Linked DNA regions of Macaca mulatta. The protein of the gene in region 7 binds, or shares a complex with, the protein of the main gene of each other region. Links are inferred from orthologs where the notes say so. Each region holds a gene or a part of one and is shown on either strand. Other genes may lie near its edges. The genes, in order: CEP290, TMEM107, CC2D2A, TMEM67, B9D2, AHI1 and TMEM17.

Region 1 (4,177 bases), on a different chromosome or scaffold from region 7:
TACAACTCACACATGATGGCTTTTATTACAAATTAGTAATAGGACTACATACCATATTGAAAAAGCTACAAGAAATAGTCAAAGATAGTTCAGATATAAATTGGTATAATCCTTTGGAGAGGATGGCATTTCTATCATACTATCAAACAATGGCATAATAAGGTCAAGAGATTAATCATATTTTATAAAAGCAGAAACTTGGAAGCAAACTATCCACCAAAACATAAATGGTTCAATATGCTTATACATGCAATAATACACTATAGAATTATTAAATGGATGAGACAGGTTTATGAACAGACCTCACAAGATGTCCAGGATAAACTGTTAAAGGCAAATACGCTAGATATGTGTATAGTATGAGTTCAATTTTATGTCACTTGCCAAGAAAATATATATATGTATATGCAAACAAAGTCTATTCTCTATCCACAGTAGTTTTAGTCTATAAAGTTAGCCCAATTAGTGAATATCAAACCACTGCTGCTAGGGGAAATATGTACAGACATACATATACATACATACACCTACATATCTCACACATGATAATCTTAAATCCTAAAGATAACTCATCCTGGTAAATTCTATTTATTTACATAAGAAAAGGTTCAGAAGCATTCGTGACTCTCCTAAGCCTAAAGCACTAACAAGCCTCAGAATTGGGATTCAAATCCCTTCCAACAGGCCCCAGAGCCACAGCTTCTTGCACTATGCTGTGCTGCCCTCTACCGTCTCCATCCTTTGATCATTTCTCTATGAAAACTGAAATGACGATACTGAGCACCGCCTTGTTGAACCTCTGCTGGCGACATGTAGGTTGGATTATTCAAACTTTCCAAGGCTCTGTGGATGTCTGCAAATGTGCTGCGAGTGTTGATTTGGGGATTACATACACGCCTTAGTGAGCAGGTGATTTAGAAAATACAGAATCCACAAATAATGAGGATCTATTATACATATGAACACATAAACACATGTATGCATATGTGTGATATATATGTACATAAAATATGTGTGTATGTGTATGTAGGAATGAGGAATGATTAGTAATCACTTTTGAATGGGAATGGAAGGCAGCAGAAACATACTTTCTTTTTACTTTGTAAAAGGAAAAAAATGTAGGCAGTATTTACTTATTTGCAGTTTTTAAAAATGTTCAGAGGACTTGAAAGAGCCTATACTTAGAAACTGGAAGCAACAGATTTAGTATTCATTGCTTAGCCCTGCATTGTGATTAAATCTGTAACACCCAGATGGAGAACAAAGAGAAAAACACTTGGGTACTTGCTACTCTATAGTATAAACAACACAAAGAGAAAAATGGGAATATTTTTATATTAATAGCATGGAGGAGAGACAAGAGATCCAAAACTTATCAGGAATTTGATTTTACACTGAGACAATGATCAGAAATCTGAGCCAAAAGAAAAAAAAAAAGGTAAACCCAAATTCAAAAACCTGGGGGTAGCTAACATGTTTTTTAAAATATATTACCAGGTATGGTGCTTTCAGCTCCACTTTGGTCCTTGTTAGCTTCTATCTGATGGATTAATTCTGCTTTCTCTTTATCCAGCTGACTATTAGCTAATCTAGAACACAATGATAATTTGTTAAAAAAAAAAGAAGGCAGGTATTGCTTCATAAAATATATGGGCATTTCTTATGAACTAGTGATGTACAGTAATCAGAACAAACTAGTCTTTATCAAAGTAAACATTTACTCTCAATGCTACAATGTCACCATTCTCAAAAAGCCTGGAATACAAAAGCCTTCACATTTTTCTTAATATCTGACCTGAGGTCATTTCCAAGAGTGGTTTTGTTATGAGGAGCCTAATGAAAGTGGGCTACAGAGACTCCTGAAAGTAAAAAATTACTTGTTCTCTTTCATTAGTATTTTCCTCTGGGAAGCTAAGGATTAATTCATTCTATGCTCTTAGAAAAGTTTAAACTAAATTACAAACTGGAAACTTATATTACAGTTGGGTTTATCCTTTTTTCCAGTGTGTATTATGAAAAAGAGAGTGATTAGCATTAGAAGGAAGAAATAAGGACCTAATAAGCCTGTTAGGCAGTAAAGTTGAAAAATGTTTGTCTCTAGTTGTAGCAATTCTAAGATTATAAAAACTAATAATTTTTTTTTAAAAGAAAGAAACAAAGTAGTCATATGAACACATGACGCACCTAAGAACTTGAAGCTCCTGTCTGAGGCCTTGCTCTGTCTCAGCACCTTCAGGAACATGTTTAAGAATCTTAATCTTTGGGGACAATGAAAAGTTAGAAGATAACTTTGGAAATACGAGGATTTATAAAGATACACATTTTTAATAAAGCATAATATTAAAATCTGGTTTTCAAAAGCATGCATAGGCAAATTTCTATGTTCTATTCACCATTCATTCAACAAGTATTGAGTAACTACTGCATAACTGGCATTGTCCTAGGCACAGAGGCTACAGCAGTGAACAAAATAGGTAATGTTCCATCTTGCATGGTCCTCATTTAGTGTGGAAACAAAGAATGTGTATGTAATATGATATGATATAATAATAGTGCCAGATGGTAGGAAGAGCTATGAAGAAAAAATAATCCAGGGTAAGAGGATCAAGAGTGATGGCAAGTAGTATAGGGTTAGGGTTAGGGTTAGGGTTAGGAAGGTCTCTCTGAGGAGCCTCTATTTCAGCAGAGACATGAAGTCTGGGAGGAAGCTATGAGAATATTTGGGTGAACAGTATTCTAAACAAAGGAAACAAGTGTAAGGACTTAACGCTTAAATGAGTTTGAATTGTTTAAAGTACTGAAAGAAGGTTAATGTGGTTAAAACATTGTGAATGAAATGAAGGGAAAAGTGGTAGAAGATGAGATTGGGAAGAAAACTGGGTACCAGACCTCATATATTGTTTTGGGATACGAAAAGTACTTTGAAGTTTTATTTTAGGGTGATGGAGAACCACTGGAAGATTCTGAGGATAGGACTTTGTGCTTTGTGATGTGCTTTATGTTTTAAAAGGGTTACCCGCAACTGTGTGGAGACAGACCAGAAATAGAAATAGAGTGAAATAATGCAAGAGTGGAAGCTGAGATACCAGTTTGGAAATTATTGTAGTTATTCAGGTATAAAACAATAGCCTGGACAAGACTGGTAGTGATGTCTCAAGATGCCAAGAAGTGGTCAGATTTGGGATATAGTTTGAAAATAGAGCTGACATAATTTAACGATTAAAAAAAAGATGTGGAGAATGAAAAGAATGAAGTCATTGATGATCCAAAGTTTCTGGCTTAAGCAAATAGGTGAATGGGGTGCCCTTCAGTTAGATGGGTCTTCTTAATCGAGTCCATTTTTATCTATAGAGGAACATCCTGTGATATTATGCATTATTTTATCATGTAAAGAAAAATTACATTACTTACCTGTTCTTCAAGGTCTTCAGTGTATTTCTTAACTTTTTGTTCTCTCTCTGTTGCTTCTTTTACAAGCTGTTTAAGGTCAGTAATGCTTTGATTTTTTTTGGCAATATCAGTTTCCAATTCTTTTAACTTGGTTTCATACATTCTAAAAGTATAAGGAAAAAAAGTATAGACATGGCAAATAATTTATGTCACTGATTTAAAAGTCAGTTCAAATTACCGTACTAGAAATAAGCAAGAATATCTTATTTTACTGTTTCGTCTAGTCAAGGTTTTCGCTACATATTTATTTACCATTAAAATGGTGGTGGCAAGAGATAAGGTATCCCTAATTAACAGATGGCCCATTCAAAATAAAGAATTTGGGTATTTTCCAAGATTATAAATAAGGATGGAGCCTGATTTGACCATTTTAAAATTAATACCTTTTTTCAATCACAAAATAAGAAAATACAAAGTAAAATTCTTCGGAATATAAAATTCTATATTACTAGATATTCTTAGAAATATAAAGATGGCAAATAAAAAGCTTTTCTCACATATACAGACATACATAGGAGGTATACAGAAAAACACTACAGGGAGAGGAAAAAAATTGTGCAAAAGCATGGGTGAGAAAAATAGTATCTGATGGGAGAGGGATAAAGCTTGTAAAAATCTGAATAGATTTATAATCATTAAAGAAACAACAGTTCAAAAAAATACAGACTCCAGAAAAAAATTTCATAATTGAGCCAAACAGTTCTACTGGTTCATCATACCTAAAGAA
Region 2 (4,880 bases), on a different chromosome or scaffold from region 7:
AGTCCCAGTAAGCAACAAATACAACTCACAATTTTCAAAACCAGGTAAATTTGGCGAGATCACAAAATAGCGAAATACGAAAACTATTCCCTGCACCGCATGATAACTACATTAACTAAACTAACAATCAACATAACAGAAACATAAGCGATCGTCAGGAAGAATCAGATAGGAGCAATCAGGGTGTTGCAAGTCCTGATTACGCAGAGACGTTAATCACGTTTCATGCATTCTCCAATCATCATGTTCTAATCTGCCCTCCAAAAGAGGAACAGGTAAGGATTATCCCACCTGACGATATTTCTAAATAGCCGACATTCCGCACTCAGTCAAAAAGATTCCGTTTACAGCTAGGGTGAGTTCACGACGCGTTGGTATAAGTAACCCTACTACTTAGCATCCTTCCAGTTGTATTGCCATATTTGCTTGCACATTTTTAAAAGAATTTTTTCGTTCGGCTGCCGAAAAGGAATAAATTTCTTTTTCCCAGAATGCTCCGATCATTTACGTGCTGGACGTTCTAACTGTAAGCACTTTCTATTTACATATCTCCGCCCACTCCCTTCCGCCAGACAACTACCGTAATAACCAAAATAGAAGCGATACCAAGTATCTTACGGTCTGCAGAACTAGAAAATAACGTTGCTTCTTTTTTTTTCTTCAGTAGTTTCGCCATTTCAATTGTGCCCTGAAAACTGTATATGTCTTAATCTTACTACAAAACATATTTTATTACAAACCACTAAATACAATGCGGATAATCCCAGACTCAAGACGTAATTATTCCAACACATATCCTCCAGCAGAAGCAGTTTCCGAGGGGAGGACCGAAGCCTATGCCTTCCTTCTTCCAGGAATACGAAGCGGCCCTTGCCCCTGTAGCCTTCGTCCTTAGGTTCCCGTCATGAAGGTGCTCAGAAAGGCTTCTTTTTCAGCCCAAAGACGGTGACGAATAAAGTCATTTCAGTGACAGCTGGAAGGGCACTACCGAGGCAAGTGGTAGATTCAGAAACCCGTTCAATATAAATACCCAAATCTCCAAACCAGAGACCCCACCCCTGAAAGTGTAGGACAGGTGGCATGGGGTAGGGAATGAAAATTCAAAAGACTACAGGATGTTAAGTGGATCTGGTATCTCCCACATAGAGGAAAGGGCTGGGTAGGGGAAAAACCCTCAGGTTTAGGGTCAGCCTTCCTCCCTCATTCCCGAATATTGGATGCTACCACACCTGCAGAAGACAAAAATGTACCAATACGTAGTGCACTCCCAACGCTCGAATATGAAGAAGGACAGGGCCACGGATGCACTACAGTGAGCCCCAATGGCTTGAGAAGGCACCACAGTTAAGGAAAGTCTTTGGATCGACAGATAGTGAGGGGTCAGAAAAGGCCAAAGGCCAGTGGTGGGGTTGGCATCTGCATTCAGGTTCATCGTTTGCTCCCTCACCATATTGCAAGGGCTAGAGTCAGCATCCCCGACTTCTGAATTTTAGGACAGTCATGTGAGGAGAGACCAGAAGTGACTGCGCAGATGGGATCTCAGGCTACCCTACTCCATATCTAGGGGCCAGCCTGGATCCTTCAGATGAGAGGTAAGAGTAGGCTCTCCTGCTATGCCACACAGGAGTGCTGACAGCGACTTGATATGCGCTGGAATCAGCCTCCAGTGTCCTGGTCCTCCTGGTCCACAATTCTCTGACCCATGTGCCTGGCTTCCGTTGCCTCTTCTGAGTTCCCAATGTGCTTTATATCTTTCGTTTTTTGCCAGAGTCTTGCTCTGTCGCCCAGGCTGGAGTGCAGTGGCACGATCTCGGCTCACTGCAACCTCTGCCTCCTGGGTTCAAGCAATTCTCCTTCCTCAGCCTCCTGAGTAGCTGGGATTACAGGAGTGCACCGCCACGCCCGACTAATTTCTGTATTTTTAGTACAGACAGGGTTTCACTATGTTGGTCAGGCTGGTCTTGAACTCCTGACCTCAGGTGATCCACCTGCCTCGGTCTCCCAAAGTGCTGGCATTACAGGCGTGAGCCATCGCACCCTGCCTGTGCTATCTTTACACACTCCCATAGCACACTGCTTATCACACTGAATTACAGATGTGTATCTACCTCCTCATGGTTAAAAAAAAAAAAAGTGGAGTTTTTATTATTACTATTTATTTTGTAGACACGGGGTCTAACTATGTTGCCTCCTGCGCGGGCCTCCCACAGTGCTGGGATTACAGACGTGAGCCAACGTGCCTGGCCAAAAACTGTATTTTACTCTCATTTCGGAATTTTAAGTGCCTAGTAAACAGCAGGATTTAGCACATGGTTGAAGATCTTTGAACTGGAGAGACTGGCTACAGCAGACACTATTGTGTCAGGTGGCTGAAGGGAGTCCTGATAGAAATGGGTCGTGTGGGAAAGGTGGGCAGGCAGAAAGGATACAGATGAGGCTCTGGGTGCTGTTGAACATGGAGACTCCTGAGAGGAAACCGGCCAGCTCCACTGCAAAGAGGCCCAGGGTGACAGAAAGCGCGGCCACCAGCCTGCAGAGAGGAAGTGGACTGGCCCAGGCCTTTGGACTTCTTCTAAGACCCCTCCACTCCCACCACCTCTTCGTTCTGGCCACCCCGTCCCAAGAGCTCACTGAATGTCCTGCTTGTCATACTCCTCGGGGGTGAACCTGAGAGGCAGGCAGGCCTGAATGTTGCTGTCCTGGGAGCAGGGCAGAGAGGAAGAGAAGTGAAAAAGGGGCAGGCTGCTGGGCAGGCCTAGGGACGGCGGAACACGAGAAAACCCAAGTGGGTAAGACACTGGGAGAGGGGCAGGGTGGGGCGGGGACGACTCCGAGATGGGAATGGGGGCGGACGGAGGGCAGCCGTGGGTCTTACCCGGGACCAGAATAAAGTGATGACGACCACCAGATGCGCCAGGAGCGTCAGGAAGCGAGAGGGCACAAGCCCTGAGACCCGGCCCATGGCCCTTGGGAACAAGAGCGGCGGTCTCTGAGGCTGGAAGTTCAGAGACTGCGACTCCCGCAAGTCCACCAGCAAGCGGACAAATCTAGACGAACTCCTCCTTTCCGCCAGCTCAGGCACCGCCCAGTTGCCTTGGTAACCGCGTACGCGGGCGTGCTGCCGCGTTCTCGGAAAACCTCGCGAGAGCAGTACATTCTCCATCTGCTGTGGGTCTTTCAGGGCTAACTCAGGTCAGGGGTACCCGAAGGAGCTTCTAACCCAATGGCTGGGTACCCGTGCGCAGCCAGGCCCTTTGTTTCTCAGAGGGTGAGGGGTGGCACAGCCCCGCAGCGCCCGATCTGCCCACGCAGGGCCGACGAACGGAAACCCACCCTGGCCTAGCCTGGGGACACCTCTGCTTCCGCGGTTGCCCACGCCGGGAGCGGCCCCCAGCCCCAGCTACGCTGCCCAGTTGTGGATCACTTGAGATCACTCCCACCGCCACGCCGGGCTGAGGTCCCCGCCATGCCGAAGACTCACACCCGCTCCCCTTCCTCCTCTCCTCATGCCTTTAACTTCCCACCAAGCTGGGCCTGAGAAACAAGGGACCCGAACGTGGAGAGGCCGGTGTTCCTGGACTGCTCGGCAGTTACAGATTGTCACAGAGCCCCTGGTTGTCTGAGGACCCTAGGCCTGAACCTTCCTTGAGGAAGACTGATTTCTCTCAGACTACTTTGCTCAGTTTGGTGAAGGATTTGCAGAGTGCAAAAAGTGGTCAGCGTCCTTAAACTAGCGTGGGAATAAGAGCAAAGCAAGGTGGCTGGAAAGGTGGGAGTGGACGAAGGGAATGGTACAGTCCCTGCGTCTCTGGGAGGCTTGGAGCCTACGGGAAGGGAAACTCAACTTAGATTTCTTTATCTCTTGGAGGTGCTGGACCTCCGACATTGCCCAGCTACAGTCCAGGAAGCTCTTATCACCGGCGACGTCATGACCTTTGGGCCTCAGCGCAGGTCCCTGCAGATCTGAAAGTTCTTCTCTAATTGCTCAGTCAAGTCCCATCCTCAAGGAAACTCCCGGCCCATTTCCCAGGAGAACAATATCTTCCTACTTCCCACTCGACGTCTCAGTGCCTTTAGCCAGACTAAAGTACAAGCCCAAGAGGCATTTCTCATTCCTTCAACAAATATTTTTATATATTTATTTATTACCTAGTAATAGTATTCTAGTCAGGGAGATCAACAACAGACATGCAAACAAATAAATCCGTAAGATAATAGGTGCTACAAACAGGGATACGCGGGCCAGGCACAGTGGCTCACGCCTGTAATCCCAGCGCTTTGGGAGGCCCAGGAGGGCGGATCATCTGAGGTCAGGAGTTCGAGACAAGCCTGACCAACATGCTGAAACCCCATCTCCACTAAAAATACAAAATTAGCCGGATGTGGTGGCGCGTGCCTGTAATCCCAGCTACTCGATTACTACTACTCGATTAGCTACTAAGGCAGTGGAATCGCTTGAACCCGGGAGGTGGAGGTTGCAGTGAGCCGTGCCATTGCACTCCAGCCTCTGCAACAAGAGCACAACTCCGTCTCAAAAAAAAAAAAAAAAAAAGGAAACGCTAGAATTATAATTCTATAAAAGTAGGGCATTTATAATTCTATAAAAATAGGGCATTTATTCTTAAACTTTATTTTAGAAACTTTGGCCAGAAATTGACCGGGAGTGGTGGTTCGCGCATATAATCCCCGCACTTTGGGAGACCGAGGCAGAGAGATCACCTGAGGGCAGGAGTTTCAGACCAGCCTGGCCAACATGGTGAAACCCCATCTCTACTGAAAAAAAAAAAAAGCCGGGTATGGTGGCGCGCGCCTGTAATCCCAGCTATTCAGGAGGCTGAGGGAAGGAGAATTGCTTGAACTCGGGAGGCGGAGGTTGCAGT
Region 3 (3,755 bases), on a different chromosome or scaffold from region 7:
AGTCAAATCACTTATCCTGCCTCAAACTGTCCTCTCATCTGTAAAATCAGGACAATATCCCTACCTCATAAGGTTATTAGTGAGATTAAATAAAAATCTACAAAGAGCACTTCGCGCAGTATCTAGTAAATAATGGCTCAATAAATAGTAGCTATTTTCCTTCATTCTATGCTTAAACTTCACACCCTATGAACCCAATACCTGTACTTACCACAAATAAAGTTTCCATGATGTTGGTATTTTAAAGGCAGTTTTAAGGCAATTTAGAAAAAAAATCCATCATCATGAATAGAATTCACTATTCATGATATGAATAAATCACAAGACACTAACAGCCCCACAAATACTTGAGGCTTTCAACATAAGCCCTACTTCTTATGCCTGTGTCTAATTCATCTGTCCGTATATATGCTACCAATGAGTATAGCTGTACAACATTTCAAAAAACATTTCATGGCCACGTGCAGTGGCTCACACCTGTAATCTCAACACTTTGGGAGGCCAAGGCTGGCGGATCGCTTGAGCCCAAGAATTTGAGACCAGCCTGGGCAACACAGCAAGACCTTGTCTCTACCAAAAAAGAAAAAAAATAGCCAGGCATAGTGGCATGCACCTGTGGTCCCAGCTACCAAGGAGGCTGAGGTGGGAGTATCACTTGAGCCCGAGAGTTGAGGCTGCAGTGAGCTGTGATTGTACCACTACACTCCAGCCTGGGCAAGAGAGCAAGATCCTGCCTTAAAAAAAATTAATATTAATAAACTTTTGCTGCATGTATTGAATTTTGCTATCCCCAAGTCATTCAGTACTCCCTCTTCTGTGCTTCTGTGTTACATTTCAAGTATCTGTTATAGCTCTTAGGATACACATACTTTCTATTTATAGGCCTATTTCCCATCTCAACTCATATACAACCCTTAAGGACAGGACTGCATGTTAATTCTGAATCTCCAGGGAGTAGCCATTAGACATTAATTATGCCTGGAGGATCACAACTCCATCAACAAAAATGTAGTTATACAATCATCTGAATCCCCACTACATACTACATATATTTTTTAACAAGGGAAAAGTGAGTCACCAAAAAATGGAGTTTATGTTTTGTGACCAGGATTGAAAAAATACTAAAAGAAAAAATCATGGACTGGAGGCCACGCCATCTGACTCGGTGGAATAGATATTGTACCTCTACTCTGCGTCACTTCTTGCCTCTGTTAGAAAAAAGTCAAGGAGAAGATGTAGAAGATGACCACAGAGCAGAACTGCTAAAGCAGCTGGGAGACTACAGGGTAAGTTACAAATGGATCCTAAACTGACTGTGGATTTCCTTGTTTCAAATTGGAAATTAGCCAATAACAGGTTTCTGGAATCAAAAGACCCACATTGCTCCCAGAAGTACATATTTAAAGCAGCATAAACTAAAAACTGTGATTATAAGTTTTAAACCTCAATAATCACTAAATAGCAAAATACCACTATTTTTCATATAAGTATCCCATGAAAAATACCTTTTATGAAATACATTTACATATCAAATAAAATGAAAACATCTGGCTAAATCATGTTAGACTCAACTGTGCACAAGGATCAAAACACTCTAGAACAGTTTTTTTAAAGGATGTAAGGTTTTACACTGATTGCTTTTCATTGCTAAGAAAGGTGGTTATTAACAGACGATATACCCTCTCTACTGCCTGCTTGTAGTACTGTGTTCACATGCTATAGCTGGATAATAAAACCTAGAAAGAAGGCTTGTAACTAAGACTTAACAGTAAGCCTTATTAGCTAAACAGTGTGAAGGTCAAATTAGATCACTCACTGAGTAAAATTTATCCTTTAACTTATAAGGCAGGTTCTCAGTCAGGATATTTTCAGTTCAAGTGTCAGAAAACTCAAACAGTCTTGAGCAATAGAGAATTCACCAGCTTAAGTAAAGCTTAGAGGGTAGCTATCAGGGTTTTCCCATTCTCCTTCAAGTCCTCCCATTCTGCCCTCCTCCTCCGTATGATGGCATCATCCTAAGACTGGGTTTCCTCATGTTAGCAAATGCTGGAACACTTACAGAATTCACATCTGCGCACATACTACCCAAAGCAGGAGAACGTCATGTGCCATTATTCCTAACAAGTTTCCCGAGATCCCCTCTGAGACTCCCTTTGATCTCTTGCCCATCCCTATGGATCAATCATTGTAGCCAAGGGGACGAAAATTATTGTCGGGCGCCATGGCTCACATCTGTAAACTCAGCACTTTGGGAGGCTGAGGTGGGCGGATCGCTTGAGCCCTGGAGTTCAAGATCAGCCTTGGCAGCATGGCAAAACCCCATTTCTACAAAAAATACAAAAAGTAGCCAGGCATGGCGGCACTTTCCTGCAGTCCCAGCTACTCAGGAGGCTAAAGTGGGGGGACCATCTGAGCCCAGCAGGAGGCCGAGGCTGCAGTGAGCCATGATCACGCCACTGCACTCTAGCATGGATGACAGTGAGACCTGTCTCAAAAAAAAAAAAAAAAAAAGAAAAAAGAAATGTATTTGTTAGTTTAACCTATGTTTCTGGAATTAGAATGGTTACTATGCGTACTAGGTACTTCCAAAAAGAGGGAATACTGATGGGGTGACTAACACCTATATGCTAGCAAGGAAAACAAAATGGGTATTAAGCAACTCTCCATTTTCTGTATTGCTAATAAATAGCTGAGTAGAAAAACACAAGCAAATAACTGAGATCCAGAAGACTTATTATATTAATGGCATACATTTACATAGGAAACAATGTATTAAATCTTCAAACTTCACTAATGACTACAAATGTTTTTTCCCTTCAGTTCTCTGGATTTCCCCTTCACATGCCTTATTCTGAAGTGAAGCCTTTAATTGACGCTGTGTATAGTACTGGAGTACATAATATTGATGTTCCTAATGTTGAATTTGCTTTAGCTGTATACATACACCCATACCCCAAAAATGTTTTGTCTGTTTGGATCTATGTTGCCTCTCTTATACGCAACAGGTAATTTTTTTCACTGTACTTTTTGTATCATGTAAAAACTACACAGGATATGAGAAAATTTTAAATTATATGCATCACATCAGAAGAACATATTATTGGCAAATAATAAAATTATCATGTTTTCAAACTGTGCAAAGTGTTTTATTTAGTAGTCTGCCTCGTCTCTGCTACTTGACCCTGAAATTCAATTGAGACTACCCACAGTAGAGTACATTATGAGCTTCCTGCCTCTATTCGTTTGTACTTACTTACCTTTTGCTTGGGCAAATATTAACAGCAATGGAATGAAAGTGAGAGAAACTTACCAAGTTTTACCTCAAAGCAAGGTAAAGCTTTAAAGAGAGCATCATTAGAGCCTTCAGAATTCCTCTTCCTTTGCCGTGTTTAATTCAAATGTTAGTAGAAATAAAAAGCAGTAATGAGTTATTTATATTCCATCAAATGATTCTTCCTTTATCTTTAGACAACACTAAGACACTTCGCCTGAACTGAATGTTTACCCGTTTTTATTGCTACTCCTCCTCCTCTCTCCAAATAAAACAAATAAATATCTAAGACTGCAAGATTACGTCATCTTCCACAGGTTTGCATGTACAGGTATACCTCGGAGATACTGTGCACTTGGTTCCAGAGCACTGCAATAAAGTGAATATTGCAATAAAATGAGTCACACCAATTTTTTTGGTTTCCCAGTGCAAAGTTATGTTTACACTATATTATAGTGTATTCAGTGTGCAAAAGCATTATCAC
Region 4 (4,177 bases), on a different chromosome or scaffold from region 7:
TCCATTAATCAAGGATAAAGTGTTGAGATCTTAAAGCTGTTTTGTCTGTCTCCAGATTCCTTTGCTCCTTTCTTCCTATGACCCCCATTCTCAACTCAGTGTTCTCTATCAATGTAGGTGAAGCTCTTTATATGCCTCTTGATAGTCCTTATCCCATTGTACTGTGAATATTAAGTGTCTCCTTTTTCCACTGGCTGGGAGCTTCTCGAAGTGAAGTATCCCATACTTAGATTTTTAGCCTTTATTTGATCAATAATGCAGCAACTAGAAAGAATGCCTCAGTTTAAACATATTGCTTCTATAAATGAGAAAGATGTGTTTCAACAACGCATTCTGTAAAAATCAGAAATCTTAATAGCAGAAATAGAAAAAACAGACAGAGCATTCAAAAACTTTAGGAAAAACAAGCTATAGTTGAAAATATCTTTACTTATAAAGAAGTCAACTGATCTACAAAACGAGGTGTGCTTCTAGAATCTTTGGGAAAGAGTCAATTATATAAGTCCCTATGTGAGGAGGAAAAATGTCTCCTCTTTTCATATTCCTATTTTAAAGAAATAAATAAAAAGGGAAGGTAAAGTAAAATGTATATGAAAATTCTGTGAATTTGGTGATTCCAGGTTATCTGATGAGCTTCTAATGATCCCCTAGTGGTATTATAACTTCATGTGAATTCACTTATAAACGTATATGTTCTTGTGATAACAGTATGTTTCTTAAAGAGTCAATATTGGTTTTATAAGCAGGCTTAATGCTGGTACTCTTTCAGGTGTTTTATTATATGTCATTCTCAGGCACTACAATTTTTGCATAAGCTCATATCGCAGATTACAATAGATGTATTCTTTATTGATTGGGAGCGACCTAAAGGAAAGGTTCTTAAAGCTGTTGAAGGTAAGTGAAATATACATTTGTACCAAAATTCTTTTGCTATCCTTGCAGAGCAAAGGAGGTAGAATTCTTTTACTCATTTTATTTTTCTGACCAGGTGAGGGTGGTGTACGAAGTGCCACTGTTCCTGTAAGCATATGGAGAACATATTTTGTAGCAAATGAATGGAATGAAATTCAGACTGTGAGAAAAATTAATTCACTATTTCAAGTACTTACTGTCCTCTTCTTTTTGGAGGTATAAACTGTTTTGATGTGATTTATGCAACTTACATGTACCTTATAAATATTAAACTAATATAATTCCAACTAAGTTTTCATGACAGTGGAAGATTTCTCTAAAGGTTGAAATATTGTTGTGAAGCCATTAAAAAGGAGTGACTTTATGTTATATATTTTACCACAATTTTTTTGTTTTAAGTTTACCATCTTAAGCATTTTTGAGTGTAGAGTTTAATAGTGTTAAGTCAGCCAGGCGCAGTGGCTCACGCCTCACTTTGGGAGGCCAAGGCAGGCGGATCACCTGAGGTCGGGAGTTTGAGACCACCCTGGCCACCATGGAGAAACCCTGTCTCTCCCAAAAAATACAAAATTAGCTGGGCATGGTGGCACATGCCTATAATCCCAACTGCTCGGGAGGCCGAGGCAGGAGAAGCGCTTGAACCCGGGAGGCGGAGGTTGCAGTGAGCCAAGATGGCGCCATTGCATTCCAGCCTGGGCAAAAAGAGCGAAACTCCATCTCAAAAAAAAAAGATAGTGTTAAGTACATTCGCATTGTCATGCAAAATCATCATCACCATTCATCTCTAGAACTCTTCATCTTGCAAAACTGAAACTCCATATCCCTTAAACAACCCTGTACCCATTCCCTGCTACACCTAACCCCTGGCAACCACCATTCTATAATACTTCCTGTCTCTGTGTGTTTGACTGCTCTAGGTGTAAGGAGTGGCTTTAAAACCAATAGTTTGTATCAGAAGCCCTCGGGGATCTTTTGTAAAATACCTATGCTCGGGCTCACCCTTAGAGACTATGTTTGATTTAGTAGCTTTGAGGTAACCCCAGGTATCTATATTTTGAAAAAGCTCCCTACTCCCTGATCCGTATTCTCCCCTACATTAGAATCACTATTATAAGTTTGATATTTTTCAACTAATTTTTATTGAAAACTTACTATAGACTATGTTCTGTGCTAAGAGCTGGGGCTAAAATGAACAAGATGCAACATATTTATTATACATTTGCAGTTATTTCATGGATTTAGTTGAAATTATTAAAGAAAGTATTCAGTACTAAGTATAAGACTGAACATGGAAACCGTTTATATGGGAATAGGTTTTCTCAGGAATTATCTGCTTAATTAAGATTGAATATAAATCATTAACTCTTAGGTCTGTCTGTCTTCCCTCTTTTTTCTTCTTTCTTTCCATTCTCTTTCCCCTTTCCCTTCCTTTATTTTTGTAAAACTGGTAGAAGACTGTTTGTATCCTTAGAGCCTTTAAATAATATGAGCAATACTTCCAAAATTCACTTGAAGTAGTATTTTGGTTTTTCTTAAATGAACAGATAAAATTTATATATGTTTATAGTTTACAATACAGTGTTTTGATATATGTATTCATTGTGGAATGGCTAAATCAAGCTAGTTTATCTGTTACCTCACATACTTCTTTTCTTTTTGAAGTTGTGTGTGTGTGTGTGTGTGTCTGTGTGTGTGTGTTTAGGAGTTTCCTCAGCTTTAAAAGATGTTACATGAAAAAGTTTTATAGTCAAGTTAGTTTGGAAAATATTGGATTCAGTATAATCATGTAGTACCTTTTACTGTAAAACTTCTCAGAGCCTTTATTCTACAAGGGTGGGAAGCATGGAGGTAAGTGTAATGGATGGACCAAATGTATTTAAACATAGATTATTTTTTCAAAGAACTTATGCCCTTTAGAAGACATTTTGTAATATACTGTTTTAAAGTATAAAAATGTTTAGTACAGTGCCTGGCACATGTCAAATACTCATGAAATACTAGTTGTTGGTTTCACTCATTGGTAGTTTACTAATGAAAGTTTTATCCTTTGAATTAAATTTGTATTCCTGTCAGTGTGTATGACAATAAGGTTATATTTGACCCTTAGTCATATTGAGAAGAATGCCAAATGAACTAACTAAATATTGTGTAATAAATACTTTGTAGTTAAGATACTGGATAATAATTATTTTTATCTAGATTTTCTACTGTTTATACAAACTTGGATATTTTAGTTTTTCAAGGTGAGTAGGGAGAGGTTTTCTATTTTCAGTCGAGTAGTTTTCTTTATCCATGTCTGTTTAAATTACTACTTTTCCTTTTTACTCCAGGTTGTGGGATTCAAGAACTTGGCATTAATGGACTCATCTTCTAGTCTTTCTAGAAGTCCATCTAGCTATGTAGCTCCTTATAGCCGCATTTTGAGATATGCAGTGTCTGCTGCTCTTTGGCTAGCCATTGGAATTATACAGGTAAGGAATTATAAAGGTAATATTACTTCTAAGTAACATTACTTATTTATAACTCTGCTTACTTACTGATTATCATCAAACATTGACCACATCCTTCTTTCTGTAGCAGAAAGAAGGTGACAAGAGCAATAAGCTAATAGTCAGTTCTTTTTTTTTTTTTTTTTTTGAAACAGTCTTCACTCTGTCGCCCAGGCTGGAGTGCAGTGGCATGATCTTGGTTCACTGCAGCCCCTGCCTCCCAGGTTCAAGCAATTCTCCCACCGCAACCTCCTGAGTAGCTGGGACTGTAGGCGCCCACCACTACATCCAGCTAATTTTTTTGTATTTTTAGTAGAGATGGGGTTTCACCATGTTGGCCAGGCTGGTCTTGAACTCCTGACTTCAGGTGACCCTCCTCCCCTCCCAAAGTGCTGGGATTACAGGTGTGAGCCATCGCACCCAGCCAGTAGTCAAGTCTTACATTGTGTTAGTCACTGTACTAATTAACTACTGTTGATCCATCACTTCTTGGCCTTTAGGCTAAGATCAAGTGTAATTACTGTTGATCCTTGAACAACATGGGGTTAAACTACTTGAACTCATTGACAGTAGAACATACAGTGTTCACAGAATGCAAATTCTGCATCTGTAGAGGGTCAACTTTCTGTATAGATGGGTTCCAGCAGGACTGAATGTGGGACTTGAATATGGGTGGATTTTGGTATACTTGGGGGTTCTGGACTCAATCCCAACATACTAAAGGACAATTGTAATTGCTTTATACCTAATAATGCCTCAATCTTTATAATAGCCCT
Region 5 (4,776 bases), on a different chromosome or scaffold from region 7:
CCTGTCATAGTCCAGGTGATAGATGAACTTGGACAGATGAAGGTGTTGGGCGACAAAGAGGTGAGAAGTGGATTTTAGGGTGCATTTCAAAAGTAGAGACAGTTAAGATTTCCTGATGGACAAAATGAGGGCTTGAGAAAAGAGAGAGCAAGGCTGATGCCACCACTAGGGGACCAGAGGCCCCAAGAGCTGAAAGGTTAGAGCTGTCTTCCTCACCCACACAGCATCCAGAAAGATATAAAAAACCCATCTCTACTAAAAATACAAAATTAGCTGGGTGTGGTGGTGTGCGCCTGTAGTCCCAGCTACTTGGAAGGCTGAGGCAGGAAAATTGCTTGAACTGGGAGGCAGAGGTTGCAGTAAGCTGAGATCGCGCCACTGCACTCCAGCCTGGGCGACAAGGCGAGGTTCCATCTCAAAAAAAAGAAAAAAAAAAACTAACAAAAATCCAAAATTATAAGGAGGGGGCAACATTTCAGTAGGATAACATTTATATTAAACAATTCACTGGAATATTTCACTAGTTGATATATGCATTATTTTGTTATTTTTGTAGAGATGGGGGTCTCACTATACTCGACCTTCTGGCCTCAACAGCTCTTCCCGCCTCAGCCTTCCAAAGGGCTGGGATTACAGTCATGAGCCTAGCCAAGGGTGGCTTTTAAATACTCGTGTCTATTGGCCTGGCTGGGTGGCTCAGGTCTGTAATCCCGGCAGTATGGGAGAGCAAACTGGGAGGCTAGCTAGAGCCCAGGAGGTCAAGACAAAGGCTGGGCAACACAGCAACACAGCAGGACTCCATCTCTTAAAAAAAAAAAAAAAAAGAATTAGCCAGCCGTGGTGGCGCATGTGTGTGATGCCAGCTACATGGGAGGCTGAGGTAGGAGGATCCCTTGAACCCAGGAGTTCAGAGGCTGCAGTGAGCTGTGATCAAGCCACCGTACTCCAGCCTGGGTTACACAGTGCGACCCTTTTATGGAGTCTTGATGGGACCTGATGACTGGCTTGATGTGGGAAATGATGGCATCTATGATGGCATCCAGGGACATCTCCATTTCTTGATTGAGAAATCAATCAATAGAAAAGAGGATTTTCTGCAAATAAGGGGATCCCAGTTCCTCATTTCTCTTCGCTACCCCAACGGTTCCTTGCTCAGACTCAAGCAGTTTAACAGTGAACTTGGTAGTAGCTTGGTAGAAGTTGGGTAAGTCCAACTTCCTTCCTTGTCCTTGAAAAACCTAGGGGAACTCTAAAACGGAAGCAGAACCCACTCCCCAATTTCTCCACTCTCTGTGAATGAGGAGTGATTTTTTTTGCTTTGTTTTCCAGTTATGAGGTAGGGGATGTACATGAGGTCCTGGAAGGAATTCCTCCTTGGTCATAGTTCAGTCTCTGATTTGTGATCCCGGACCATAGAGAGCTCTTCGGTGGGGTCCTCACGCAGCACGGAGCAGTTACGGATTTGCTTTTTTTGGTAAAGAGGACATCTGGGAGAAACTGCACTCAAACTTCCTCAGCCACACTCAACATGGCAGCTTCCTAGCCACGGCCAAAATGGCGGAACCCTTTGCCGTAGCTGGAGAGACGCTATTTTCCCAAAATGGAGCGAGAGGAGGAAAATGTCCATCACAGTTTCACCCCGCCTCCCGGGGACGGCTAACACCAATCAGTGGCGCGGAGGGCGAGTACAAAGCCAGGGGAGGAGCCTGCTGTTGCTCCAGCAACAACCACGGAACCCAAGGCGAGCGCGGACGCGGAATATCGCGGATTCCATTTCTCGCAGCCGGGAAGGTCCTGGGAAAGGCGCGAGCCAGGCCTGGTAGGCGCCCGCGGAGAAAAAAACGAGTCAACTCAACCCCATGAACTACAACCCCCGTTGCCGCTTTCGCCCCTCCTAACCGTTAAGTGCGCTAAGGTAGGAATAACGCATGCGCTGCGCTTGGAGGCGTGGCTAAGTCGGCCCGGAACTCAACGCATGCGCCTTATAGAGCTTGCTGGGTGAGGGAAGCGGGGTGGCTGACATGACGCGGAAGGCGGGTCTTTTCGCTCGTGGGCGGGGCTTTCCGCTGACCTGAACCCAAAGAAGGTATTTTAGACCTCGCAGAGTTAAATGCTGGTTCCCCCCAGACAAGGGTCCCCCCATTTTTTCCAGGCTTTCATGGGTTGGCAATTAGGATCTGTGGTCAAGACCTCAGCCTCAGGGGTGTGAGGAAGCTAGCTTGGAATCCTAGTACTACCCTTTACTTGCTGGGCCTCAGTTTCCCCTCCTGTCAAATGGAGATAATATACTTACCTCACAGGGTTGTGATTATATTTTTTCCCATCCCAGGGCCATGGCTGAGGTGCACGTGATCGGGCAGATCATGGGGGCCAGCGGTTTCTCGGAAAGTAGCCTGTTCTGCAAGTGGGGCATTCACACAGGTATTCCCCCAGGCCTGGTTAATTTCCACACCAAGACCCCTAGCCTAGAGGCTGCATGCTCCTTCCTCGACCTGTTAACGCAGCGCCTTAACCTCATCTTCCATCAGCTCTCTGTACTCCAGGCTTAGCCCACACCCTGTCCACGTGAGTCTCAAGCTCCCATCTGTTTTTTCGTTTGTGCAGGGGCTACGGACAGGGTCTCTCTCTGTCGCCCAGGCTGGAGTAAGGTGGTGTGATCATAGCTCACTGCAGCCTCGAACTCTTGGGCTCTAGTGATCCTCCCACCTCAGCCTCCTGAGAAGCTGGGCCTACAGGCACGCACCACCAAGTGTGGCTAATTTTTAAACTTTTTGTAGAGACAGGGTCTCGCTATGTTGCCCAGGCTGGTCTCAAACTCCTGGGCTCAAGCAGTCCATCCGCTTCAGCCTCTCAAAGTGCTTGGATTAAAAACATGAGCCACCACATCCCAGGAAAGTAATTTTGTTCATGCTTCCCCAACTGAGGCCCTGTAGAGTCATGGTATAGTGTAATGGTTAGGGCCATGGGCTGCCAGATCTGGATTTAAATACTAACTCTCCCTTCTATTAATTGGAGACCTTTGGACTTGACCTCTCTGAGCCTCAGTTTCCTTGTCTGAAAGTGAAGCTAATAGCAGCCAAGAAGCAGCACAGGTTTGAGGTTAAGAGCACAGACTGCCTGGGTTCAAAACTAGTTATTGCTTGTTAATGCACTCTTGGGCTGATTATGTGACCTTGGGCACTTCTCTTCACCTCGACTTCTCTGTTTGTACAATGAGAGTAATAGAAATATTTACCTGTTGAAGTTGTCATGAGTACTAAACAAATATCAACAGCACTTAGAATAGGAATAGGGCTGGAATATGAAGTGCCCATTCAGTGTTTGCCTGGCTCATACAAGACTTTGATGGGGTCTTGTTTGTAAAGCCTGGGGTATGTGGTTGCCTGGCACAGATAAATGTCCATGAAACAGATGTGGCCATTTGGCATTATCATGTCTTCAGGCCTGAGTCTTAGTCCCTTTTTTTTTTTTTTGAGATGGAGTCTCTCTCTGTTGCCCAGACTGGAGTGCAGTGGCGCAATCTTGGCTCACTTCAAGCTCTACCTCCCAGGTTCACGCCATTCTCCTGCCTCAGGCTCCCATGTAGCTGGGACTATAGGCACCCGCCACCATGCCCGGCTAGTTTTTTTTGTATTTTTAGTAGACAGGATTTCACTGTGTTAGCCAGGATAGTCTCGATCTTCTGATCTCGTGATCCACCTGTCTCGGCCTCCCAAAGTGCTGGGAGTACAGGCGTGAGCCACCGCGCCTGGCCGTTTTTTTTTTTTTGAGACAGAGTCTCACTCTGTCGCCAGGCTGGAGTGCAGTGGCACAATCTCGGCTTACTGCAATCTCTGCCTCCTGGGTTCAAGTGATTCTCCTGCCTCAGCCTCCCGAGTAGCTGGGATTACAGGCGTCCACCACCACACCCAGCTAATTTTTGTATTTTTAGTAGAGATGGTGTTTCATCATGTTGGCCAGGCTGGTCTCGAACTCCTGGCCTTAAGTGATCCGCCCGCCTAGATCTCCCAAAGTGCTGGGAGTACAGGTGTGAGCCACTGCCCCTGGCCTCTGGTCCTTTTTGATTCTACAGGTAAGTGAGGTAGAAGTTGAGATTCCCAGGAAATCAGGACCCTCCAGTTGATGGAAGAGAGGCAGACTCTGGAGTCAGACTTGGTTTCCAGGTTCCACGCCACCACTCACCTTCTCTGTGACCCTGGGCAGATGCCATCCCCTCTTAGAACCTCAGTTTCCTCATCTGTTCTTCATAGGGCTGTTGGGAAATCTTGCTTTTAAGCAGCCTGACTGAGGGCCTGGTGCTTCCCTCACTCAGCCCAGAAGGGAGTAATGACTAACCTGATTTTTATTACTTCAGGGAGTTGCTGGGGGTGTTGACCCAGCCAAGAATACTGAGGCAGTTGGATGAACGGCTTGGGCTCTGCAGTTAGAGCTGAGTCTGAATCCAGTTCCATGATGGGACCTTGGTCTGCTATAGTCACAGCTATGTCACCAGCATGGAAAACAGTGCTTGGCACACAGCAGGTGCTCAATAAATGTTCATGAACTTACCTTTTCAGAGCCTGTGTCTTTACCTGTTAAATGGGGATTATATTAGCTCCCAACTCCTAGGATCACTAATTTGTCCAAGAAACATTTATTGAGCACCTTCTGTATACCAAGAGCTGGGTTTGTGGTCTTGGAGATCCAGCAGTGTGCAAGGTCCCTGTTTTCCTGGGCCATACGGTAGGGGAGACAGAAAATAAATAAGCAGGCCAGGCACGGTGGCTCATGCCTGTA
Region 6 (4,177 bases), on a different chromosome or scaffold from region 7:
AAAAATAATACAAGGAATATTTGATCTCTGAAAAAAATTAGATAAAACATATTATTAAACCATCTGCTAAATATGGTACATAGTCTTCCATATTTTTGCACTCACGAAAAAATAGTAAACACCATTTCAGCACATACTTTGTGCCAGGCAGGCACTATTACCATCTCTAACACCAAACAAAAATGCACTAGAAGTCCATGCTGATTTTCCCAGAACGCTGCTTCTACCTTTTACAGGAAGAAGATTTCCCTATGTTCACCATTATTTGGAAATAAAGGAAAAAAACAAGGATGTATAAATCACAAGCCCTGCCTTGTTGTTATATCATATTATACTAATGCTGTAACAGTATCATAGTGATAATATCAGTATCAATCAATATCATTGTTGAAGGTAGAAGTTTCTTTTTTTTTAATTGTGAAAATAAAAGCAACTAACTACATTTCAGCCTCAGAACTATTCACATTTTGGGCTGGATAATTGTTTTAGGGAGACTGTCCTATGGGCTGTAGGATGCTTAGCAATATTTTTGATCTCTACTCATTAGATACTAGAAGTAACATAAAAAAAAAAATCTCCACATACTGCCACACATTCCTTGGTGAGTGTGGGGACACTGCCTAGTTGAGAACCACTACCGAATTTTATAAATATAATTTAATTCATTACTTATTCTGTGAGTACTTATCCTGTCAATACTGAAATATACTTACATCCGGAGATCCATAATTCTCAAAGTACTGTCTTTGGTATGAATTAACAAACGTTTTCCATTGGGATGAACCTCCAAATAACTTACTGGAATTCCCTTAAACTCAGTTTCTTTAATTTCCTAAAATGATAAAAAAAAAAATACTACTAATGAAAAGTTAATCTAATGTTAAACGTTTTTGGGGGTACAAAATTAATCTTAAAATATCTTTTCCAATTCTGCAGTATAGGATGCTTTATAATTGTTAGCAAAAGGATTCTGAGTAACTTCAGTTTAGGGTTGAAAATAAAGCTGATGAACTGTATTTTTGTGTTGTTATGCAATGTGTAAATGCACATTTAATTATTATGTGTTTTTGTAGTATGTTCACTTTCCCAAAATTTAGTCAATCCCAAACAAGAAGCACTTCCAACAAACACATCTTGTAACATTAAATTTTTTGTTTAAAATCATGTAAGAAGCTTCCAATTTTTATAAATTCAAAACCACATGTATTATTAATTTTCAAGTTTCTATTCTTATTTATATAAGAATTTCTAACAACAGATGAAATGCTTTTTCAACAGATCTGACAGACTCAATGGATTTAACTAAAATTCATGAAAATTATTTTTCACTTAGCGTGTCTTTTTTCAACTACTGTCATTATTAAGAAAAATGGAAGAAAAAGGTATAATATGTTAGGCAGAAACTGGATCAATTTATATAAAACAAATTCAAGTTTAATGATTCATTTGTGTTTTTAAATAAAAAGTAAAAAATGTACACTAACAAAACTGCTTTACAAGCTGTCTTAAAAACACTCCAGCCCCCAATGAAAGAACTTATTCATTTGTTTCCATTTAGCAAATTTCAAATGAAATAATTATTGATTAAATGACAGACTTTCATAATAATTACATAACTCTGAAAGACACCAGTGTTGACAAAGTACTAAGAACACTGTTTTTAGAGATGCTATTGGACCAAGGAAAAAGGATATAACAGAAAATATAAATTATTACTTATCGATGGTAATATAACATACATCTCATTTTAGCATAAATGTCACCCAATGGATTACTGAATGCCACAGTGCAAATGGGATATAAAAAAGTGAAACTAACATCTGGCCGAAATTTTAAAAATCTTCACTAAGTCATTAGATCATCAATCAACCACCAGGAGGGTGTGCTAATTAATTATAGATAATTGACTAAGAAAAAGTGTTGGCCGGGCGCGGTGGCTCAAGCCTGTAATCCCAGCACTTTGGGAGGCCGAGACGGGCAGATCATGAGGTCAGGAGATCGAGACCATCCTGGCTAACACGGTGAAACCCCGTCTCTACTAAAAAATACAAAAAACTAGCCAGGCGAAGTGGCGGGTGCCTGTAGTCCCAGCTACTCGGGAGGCTGAGGCAGGAGAATGGCGTGAATGGCGTGAACCCGAGAGGAGGAGCTTGCAGTGAGCTGAGATCCGGCCACTGCACTCCAGCCTGGGTGACAGTGCAAGACTCCGTCTCAAAAAAAAAAAAAAAAAAAAAAAAAAAAAAAGGAAAGGTGTTAATTTTTTGAAATGAGAGAACAGAATGTCCTGACATTCTATCTTAAAGTCATGTGACTGGAGTTTTCCAACTTCTTTAATTAAATCTCATAATATAAAATATGATTTTATACCTTATTTATAGTCCAGTGGCGCACTGAATGTTCCAAATCATTAACCTTGACATAGGTATTCCAAACAACAATCACCCCTGTACAGTCTCCTGAATACATATGATGACCTATTTAAAAAACAAGATTACTCACTTATGAATGTCCCAGAGTTAGAAACAAATAATAGGAGACTGGGGGAAACCATACCCCAGTAAAACAGTCAAAGAATTGAAGGGCTATTAAAAGGTATTTCAGTTTAAAAAAGTCAAAAATCAAAATGCAACTCACAAACAAACCCCAATTATCTTTAAATGAATTCTTTACTCTTTTAAATTATTTTTGATGACTTATTTCCCTTTGTCACTTACCTGAATTTAACTACAAAAAGAAATGAGCCTCTCAGTACATGTGTATATGGCTCATATTCCAAAGCCAAATTATTTGAACCATCCTACATGTAACATTATTTCTTACTTTATTAACCTATAAATCTGTTTTGGAGTCCTAGAAAAATACCTATATTCTAATACATAGTGTTAGCATAATACCTGAGACCCAGTAGAAACTCATTAAATGATCAGGAAATGAATAAAATAATAAATAACAGGTATTCCAATTTAACATCAATTCTTTGGAGTCAAGTCATCTTAAAGTTGACAGACCTCAGAAAGTTCAACTTCATACCCACTCAGGAATATCTCAACCACCACCACTAACAGATGGCTGTTCAGCAACTGTGAATTCAGTATTTTACAAAACAGCTATTCAATTGGTGAACTGCTTCCTGTATTAAAATATTCTTTGTAATTCTGAACGAAGAAAATCTACCTTCTACAGCTTTGGCCCACCTCTACCCATTGGAGTAAAATGGACCAATTTCTTTTTTTTTTTTTTTTTTGCACATTTGGGTATCTTACGGCCAAATAGTTGAAGAAAGTCTTTATGTCTCTTTTACAATCTGAACTACTGCTATTATGACAGAGTTAGTTTTCAGATACCTTTCTTTCCTGAATATGTTCTAAATTTATTAACATCCCTACAGCTGAACTGAGTAAATCAGCAGTATTATCCTTTTGATCTGGATCCCATGCCAATTAATTATAGTGACAGCCTACATGCCTAGTCTCTGAAATTATGTAAAAAGTGACTATTTAATAGATATAATAAATTTCTTTATTCTTTCAGATAATAAAATGATTTATGTTTTACAACTTTAAGACATACTACATTATTCTTTTTTTTGAGACAGAGTCTCACTCTGTCACCCAGGCTGGAGTGCAGTAGCGCGATCTCAGCTCACTGCAACCTCTACCTCCCACGTTCAAAGCGATTCTCCTGCCTCAGCCTCCCAAGTAGCTGGGACTACAGGCACCCAGCACCACACCCAGCTAATTTTTTGTATTTTTAGTAGAGATGGTGTTTCACCATGTTAGCCAGGATGGTCTTGATCTCCGGACCTCGTGATCAACCCATCTTGGCCTCCCAAAGTGTTGGGATTACAGGCATGAGCCACAGCGCCCAGCCACTATATTATTCTTACTTTAAATAATTGCAAATTTCCCTTCTATATGTTTGCAAATTTTAAGGTTCTTGAAAGAAAGTAAGAATGATAATCACCAGTCCAAAGAAATATATTTATGCAATTTTAAATGTTTAAGAGTAACTTAAAAATTACAAACAGAACTCCTTCAATGTCAAATCTATCATATGACCTGCAAAACAAGCATACACCTAAATATGCACAATCATCAGTACATAACCCTCTCAAGCCTCGATAACTATTATTCTGGTAAAAAAAATTCTTCACATAGCTGGTCTTCATTCATAGTCT
Region 7 (4,936 bases):
CTTAGCCATTCTTTAAAGTCCAATTCAGCGTCGTCTTTTCCATCAATACTTCCTTCATCAGTTCCCCCACCCCAGCAGAAATACCTTTCCCTTCAGGTACTTATCACTCTAAACTGTCAATAAGAAGTGCTAGCAAAGAACCACATTCCCCTCCCCGAAAAACAGTCTGGTGTACTGAACAGATCACGGGCTTCAGAGTTCAAGCAAACCCGAGCTCCCCAAACCTCTGTGACCCTGGATGTCAGACTTTATATAAATTATTTAAGTTCTTTGAGCTTCTATTTCTTCATCTGTAAAATAGTGAAATTAAAACTTCCTTACAGGCTGCTTGTGAGAATTAGAGCCAATATGAATTATTTCTTCCTAGCACTGTGCTGGGCACACTTAGTAGGCACTCAACAAATATTAGTCCCCTTTCCTTCTTCTCTTCTATTTATCTACTTATCTGCAAGCACACACCATGTCCCACCCTAATTTGAGACCCTCATAGAATCTAGCATCTTGCTTTATATGCAGTGAATATCAAATACACATAAGAATGAATTAATGTAAGCATACTGTCATAAGGACATTACTAGTATAGCCATTTGTGATACATGAGTTCCATTTACCTAAGGTTGATTCCATAACACTTTTTGCTTTTATGTAAGACAGAAGGGTCCTAAATTAAGAATTTGATTTTTAAAATTGAACCCTACAAAATACATCCTAAATTTGACTAAATTCTTAAGAGCGGACACATATATTGAAATCAGTTGTTCTACACGTAAGATTTTAAAGGTCCTAAAATAAATGTCTTAAGAACATTATTTTCTCCTTTTCTCCATAGTTGAGTGTTTTTATCTGTCATTTAATAATTTTAAAATATAAGAAACAGTCATGGTCTCTCGCAGCAAAATAGTTTCTTTTAGCTCCAAAAATATGCCTGATTATTGTGATCTACTTTTGCTTGCAACTGCTTATTAAATTACCACTGATAAATGAATGAATTCTTAAAATCTGTTAAATCTGAAGACAACTCACCAGCCTAGGATCTTTCTGATAGCAACAGCACAATGCTGTGGACATGGTAATTACATAAATTTGTTATTACAGTACAAATAATCAAACCTACTTCTGATCCACAAAGAACAAAATACGGGAAAGAATAATAAATTGGGCAAGCAGAACATTTCAGTACCTTTGAGAAGAAACTGTAGTCAAATTTTGCAAAGAACGGTTTTTATGTTAGAAGTATTGTGTGTTAACATCTTAAAGGTTATGCTATGTCCATATTTCAGCAGATCAAACTTATAATCATGGAAATGAAAATCAAATTAATATGTAAATGAACCTTAAAAGCATAAGATATACATTTACTGAATTTTGCAAAAGTTCAAGTTGAGTTCTATAAATGGAATTTAAATTAAAACATACAATATAAATCAGGGATAGGTAAACAACTGGTCAGCTGCCTACACGTTTTTGTACAGTCAATGAGCTAAAAATGTTTTTTCACCTTTAAATGCTTAAAAAAGTAATATTTTTTTCATACGTGAAATCCATACGAAATACAAATTTCAATATCCTTAAAGTTTTATTGGAACACAGCCATGCCTATTCAATAACTATTGTCAGTGGCTGCCGTGGAGACCATATGGCCTACAAAGCCTAAAGTACTTACTATCTGGCCCTTTTCAGAAAACGTCTTTTTACCTTGTATTATCAGACGTTAGTGCTCATTAAGCCTCATCCTTGGAACCAGAAACGTGAAACCTAATTTTTTCACATTTTTCTCTGTACATCCTAAATCATAAAGGCCTACATTTGGGGAATAGGCAAGTGATCAAGACGACAAAATGCAGCTTTGGGGACTGCCTTTACTTTTCTGTCCCTTTTAAAAATTCTGTAAAACCAAGCAGTGGAAAAGATTTATATTTCCCAGCAGACTTGAATGATGGAAACCACACGGGTTTGGTTGACAGTGTGTTGTCTACCATCATGATGTAGGAGGAGGAACCTGTTCTGGAGGAAACTGCGTTATCACTTGTCATCAAGTTGAAGGATGCAGAGGCATCATGGTATTTTCTTACCTTATGGTAAGAGTTACATATAGGGGAGGAGGAGGAGAAGGCAGGGAAGGGGTGAGTTTTGTTGAACGTCCGGCTAGTATGGCACATGCCAGTTGGGAGTGGATGGTGGTTTGAAAGGACTCTTAAAAAAAAATTTTTTTTCCCCCTAATCTTTTCTGCCAGAAAATGGCCTTGCTTAGGAACATACTTGTTCTGCTAGGAAAAGGGAAAAGGCAAATTTGCTCCCTGGGCGGCGGGTGGGGACAGGGGAGGTGGGGATTGCTTGGGCTGTTCCTCGCCATCCTGGACAGAAAAGCCGGGGCGGGCGCCGCAGAGGAAAAGCAAGTTGGGCCTTCGCTCTCGCGGTGCGCGGGGGACTAGCCTGTGCAGCAAGGGCTGCTTTTATCTTTTTATTTTTGGGGTTTCCCAGGAGCCATGATGGGCCTTGCTTGGCACAGAGGTCGGCCCCACCTCAGCTGCCGGGCTTGCACGGAGCAGGCCAGGCGTTAGCGCGTGCAGACCAGGCCCAGCCCGCGGCCGGAGGCCGCCAGCGCCTCAGCTCCCCGCCCCGGCCGGCCCCTCCTCCAAAGCTCTGGCCCGCACTGCGGGAAACTGACTGAAGGCGACATCGCCATTTTAGGTACGGGCAAATTCTGGACGCTCCAAAACCCACGCCAAGCCCTCAGCAGGCCACACCCCCTGCGCCGGCCTCGGTCACTCACCGGGACCCTCACTGTACTCCGGACCGGTCCGATTGGAATCAGTGAACACAGCCCGGCTGAAGTTTCCCAGCCGCTGGCGCACCGGATCCGGCAGCTCCATGCCTGGGCCTCGGTATCCCTCGCCCCCTCAGATACAGGCTAGTCTGCGGGCGTTCCGAGGCTCCGTGGTTCTCATGGCAACCGGCCGGCGCGAGGCCGGCGAGATCCGGGAGCGCGCGGGGGTGCCCGGCTGGGCCGGGTCTCGTCGGGAGCCCGCGCAACCTTGAAGGGACCGGCGTACTCAGAGCGCGTTCCAGGCCCCGGGAGCTGCGCGCCTCGGCCGTGTCCAAAACGGCAGATCTCTTAGTTCTGCTTTGAGCCCGACCATCCTAAAAACAAACCTATACTAAGAAATGAGCTGGGGTTGGACTGCGATACAAGGAGCCCTCATATCTTGCCAGTGAAACTGTAAATCGGTACAACCTTTCTGGAGGGAAATAGAGAATGAATGCAGAGCTTAAAGAATGTCTAGAGGTGTAGGGGTATGTGTGAGAGAGAGATACTATGACTGATTATTTTTTAATAAGAAAATAGAGCAATGGGCAACTGATTAAATGTACTGGAGCATATGCATTCAATGGAGTATGTTTCAGCTGCTTATAAAATGCTTGCAAAGAATATTGAATGATATAGTTTATGTAAAAATAAAGCAGAAATAAAACTAAATGAGAATAAACCTAATTTAGCAAAATTTATGTGTATGAGTGGAGGGGAGGAGAGAGCATGTGCACACCGACTTCAAAAAAAACTGGAAAAAAATATTAACAGTAGTTATCACTGGATAGTGGGATTGTAGGTGATTCAAAAATTTTTAAACACTTCTGTATTTTCTAGCTTTCTCTCTAAGATATATTACTTAATATATCAGCACCCTGTTCAAGAAACGTTACAATATTCCCAGAAACTCCCCCTTCCTATTTCCTTTCAGTCACTAAACCCCCTCCTCACTCATAACTGACCTTTCCTGAATTCTAACAGCAAAGGAGAGTTTTGCCTTTTTTTTTTTTTTTTTTTAAATCGGAACATTTATTGTGTGACTAATCCAAATATATATATATTTTTTATTCGAGACAGAGTCTTGCTCTATCGCCCAGGCTGGAGTGCAATGGCACAATCTCGGCTCACTGCAACCTCCGCCTCCCGGGTTCAAGCGATTCTTCTGCCTCAGCCTACCGAGTAGCTGGGATTACAGGCGCCCGCCACCACACTCGGTTAATTATTGTGTTTTTAGTAGAGACAGGGTTTCGCCACGTTTGCCAGGCTGGTCTTGAACTCCTGCTGCAACAGCTGTCCTCTTGGGTTTAGGTGGTGTTCCTTCAGAAAAGCCATGCCTTAACCTGCTGTACACAATTTTTAGGTGCCTCATTCGACCAGTCTCGTTGGTATTTTGGTTTTTAGCCTCGGCACTCCAATTATACTTTGTCTTGGCTTGGGAGCCGAGCCGCATTTGCCACAGGCAAACTTTTCAAGGAGGTAGATCTTAGAGTCACAAGGCAGCACTAGCTGTGCATCTTATTGCACCACTTTCTAGATGTGACACTCCCTTTGTCATCTTGCTTCTCAGTTTTGCATATTTATATAAAAGCCATGGTACTGTAAATACTTTTTAAAAATAAAAAACTGGCTTTGTCTTCAACATTACTTTCATGAAATTCCTTCATGTCATTGAGTGTAGATTATTTTGCCTTGCTCTGTGTGATCATACCACAATAAGCTTACTCATTCTACTGTTGATGAGTGTCTGTATTTTCTAGTTTGCAGCTGTTATGAATAGTGCTGCTTTGGTGAAAAGATGCCTCTTGGTGAACATATGCATGCATTTTTGTTGAGTGTGTATCGAGAGTGGAATTGCCATGTCATAGGATATGAAAGACCCAGCTTTAGTAGAGGCTGCCAACAGTTTTCCAAAGTGATCGAACCAATTCCTGCTGCCTCCAGCAATGTATGAATATTTCCATTACTCCATATACTTCACCAACACTTGTTATTTGTTATCCTTTCCTTTTAGCCCTTCTGATGGGTGTGTGGTAAAAGTATTATTTTTACAATCAAAAGGAAAATCACACATTTATATAAATGCAAGAAGAAGATATGGGTGGAAATAAATTCATGACTAGAATTTTA

What was found.
Region 1: TMEM17 (region 7) and CEP290 share a complex: the UniProt entries of both Homo sapiens proteins name them as parts of the tectonic-like complex. The link is inferred for Macaca mulatta from reciprocal best matches to the Homo sapiens genes TMEM17 and CEP290.
Region 2: TMEM17 (region 7) and TMEM107 share a complex: the UniProt entries of both Homo sapiens proteins name them as parts of the tectonic-like complex. The link is inferred for Macaca mulatta from reciprocal best matches to the Homo sapiens genes TMEM17 and TMEM107.
Region 3: TMEM17 (region 7) and CC2D2A share a complex: the UniProt entries of both Homo sapiens proteins name them as parts of the tectonic-like complex. The link is inferred for Macaca mulatta from reciprocal best matches to the Homo sapiens genes TMEM17 and CC2D2A.
Region 4: TMEM17 (region 7) and TMEM67 share a complex: the UniProt entries of both Homo sapiens proteins name them as parts of the tectonic-like complex. The link is inferred for Macaca mulatta from reciprocal best matches to the Homo sapiens genes TMEM17 and TMEM67.
Region 5: TMEM17 (region 7) and B9D2 share a complex: the UniProt entries of both Homo sapiens proteins name them as parts of the tectonic-like complex. The link is inferred for Macaca mulatta from reciprocal best matches to the Homo sapiens genes TMEM17 and B9D2.
Region 6: TMEM17 (region 7) and AHI1 share a complex: the UniProt entries of both Homo sapiens proteins name them as parts of the tectonic-like complex. The link is inferred for Macaca mulatta from reciprocal best matches to the Homo sapiens genes TMEM17 and AHI1.

The regions. Positions count from the first base shown.
Region 1 is NC_133416.1:95,298,517-95,302,693, forward strand, and holds part of CEP290 (centrosomal protein of 290 kDa), read right to left. Parts: intron 3,554-4,177; coding exon 3,412-3,553; intron 2,259-3,411; coding exon 2,185-2,258; intron 1,590-2,184; coding exon 1,495-1,589; intron 1-1,494. UniProt on the Homo sapiens protein: Involved in early and late steps in cilia formation. Its association with CCP110 is required for inhibition of primary cilia formation by CCP110.
Region 2 is NC_133421.1:9,692,133-9,697,012, forward strand, and holds TMEM107 (transmembrane protein 107), read right to left. Parts: upstream 3,055-4,880; 5' UTR 2,963-3,054; coding exon 2,876-2,962; intron 2,700-2,875; coding exon 2,632-2,699; intron 2,549-2,631; coding exon of another isoform or gene 2,531-2,548; coding exon 2,430-2,530; intron 1,593-2,429; exon of another isoform or gene 1,494-1,592; intron 1,327-1,493; coding exon 1,230-1,326; intron 985-1,229; coding exon 915-984; 3' UTR 660-914; downstream 1-659. UniProt on the Homo sapiens protein: Plays a role in cilia formation and embryonic patterning. Requires for normal Sonic hedgehog (Shh) signaling in the neural tube and acts in combination with GLI2 and GLI3 to pattern ventral and intermediate neuronal cell types.
Region 3 is NC_133410.1:14,648,213-14,651,967, forward strand, and holds the end of CC2D2A (coiled-coil and C2 domain-containing protein 2A), read left to right. Parts: intron 1-1,108; coding exon 1,109-1,286; intron 1,287-2,820; coding exon 2,821-3,009; 3' UTR 3,010-3,132; downstream 3,133-3,755. UniProt on the Homo sapiens protein: Component of the tectonic-like complex, a complex localized at the transition zone of primary cilia and acting as a barrier that prevents diffusion of transmembrane proteins between the cilia and plasma membranes.
Region 4 is NC_133413.1:104,191,601-104,195,777, forward strand, and holds part of TMEM67 (meckelin), read left to right. Parts: intron 1-794; coding exon 795-894; intron 895-988; coding exon 989-1,128; intron 1,129-3,242; coding exon 3,243-3,383; intron 3,384-4,177. UniProt on the Homo sapiens protein: Required for ciliary structure and function. Part of the tectonic-like complex which is required for tissue-specific ciliogenesis and may regulate ciliary membrane composition.
Region 5 is NC_133424.1:52,506,805-52,511,580, reverse strand, and holds the start of B9D2 (B9 domain-containing protein 2), read left to right. Parts: upstream 1-1,701; 5' UTR 1,702-1,915; intron 1,916-2,009; exon of another isoform or gene 2,010-2,086; intron 2,087-2,329; 5' UTR 2,330-2,333; coding exon 2,334-2,421; intron 2,422-4,776. UniProt on the Homo sapiens protein: Component of the tectonic-like complex, a complex localized at the transition zone of primary cilia and acting as a barrier that prevents diffusion of transmembrane proteins between the cilia and plasma membranes.
Region 6 is NC_133409.1:40,532,136-40,536,312, forward strand, and holds part of AHI1 (jouberin), read right to left. Parts: intron 2,475-4,177; coding exon 2,368-2,474; intron 833-2,367; coding exon 714-832; intron 1-713. UniProt on the Homo sapiens protein: Involved in vesicle trafficking and required for ciliogenesis, formation of primary non-motile cilium, and recruitment of RAB8A to the basal body of primary cilium.
Region 7 is NC_133418.1:62,220,350-62,225,285, reverse strand, and holds the start of TMEM17 (transmembrane protein 17), read right to left. Parts: upstream 2,919-4,936; 5' UTR 2,874-2,918; coding exon 2,774-2,873; exon of another isoform or gene 2,482-2,773; intron 2,079-2,481; exon of another isoform or gene 1,990-2,078; intron 1-1,989. UniProt on the Homo sapiens protein: Transmembrane component of the tectonic-like complex, a complex localized at the transition zone of primary cilia and acting as a barrier that prevents diffusion of transmembrane proteins between the cilia and plasma membranes.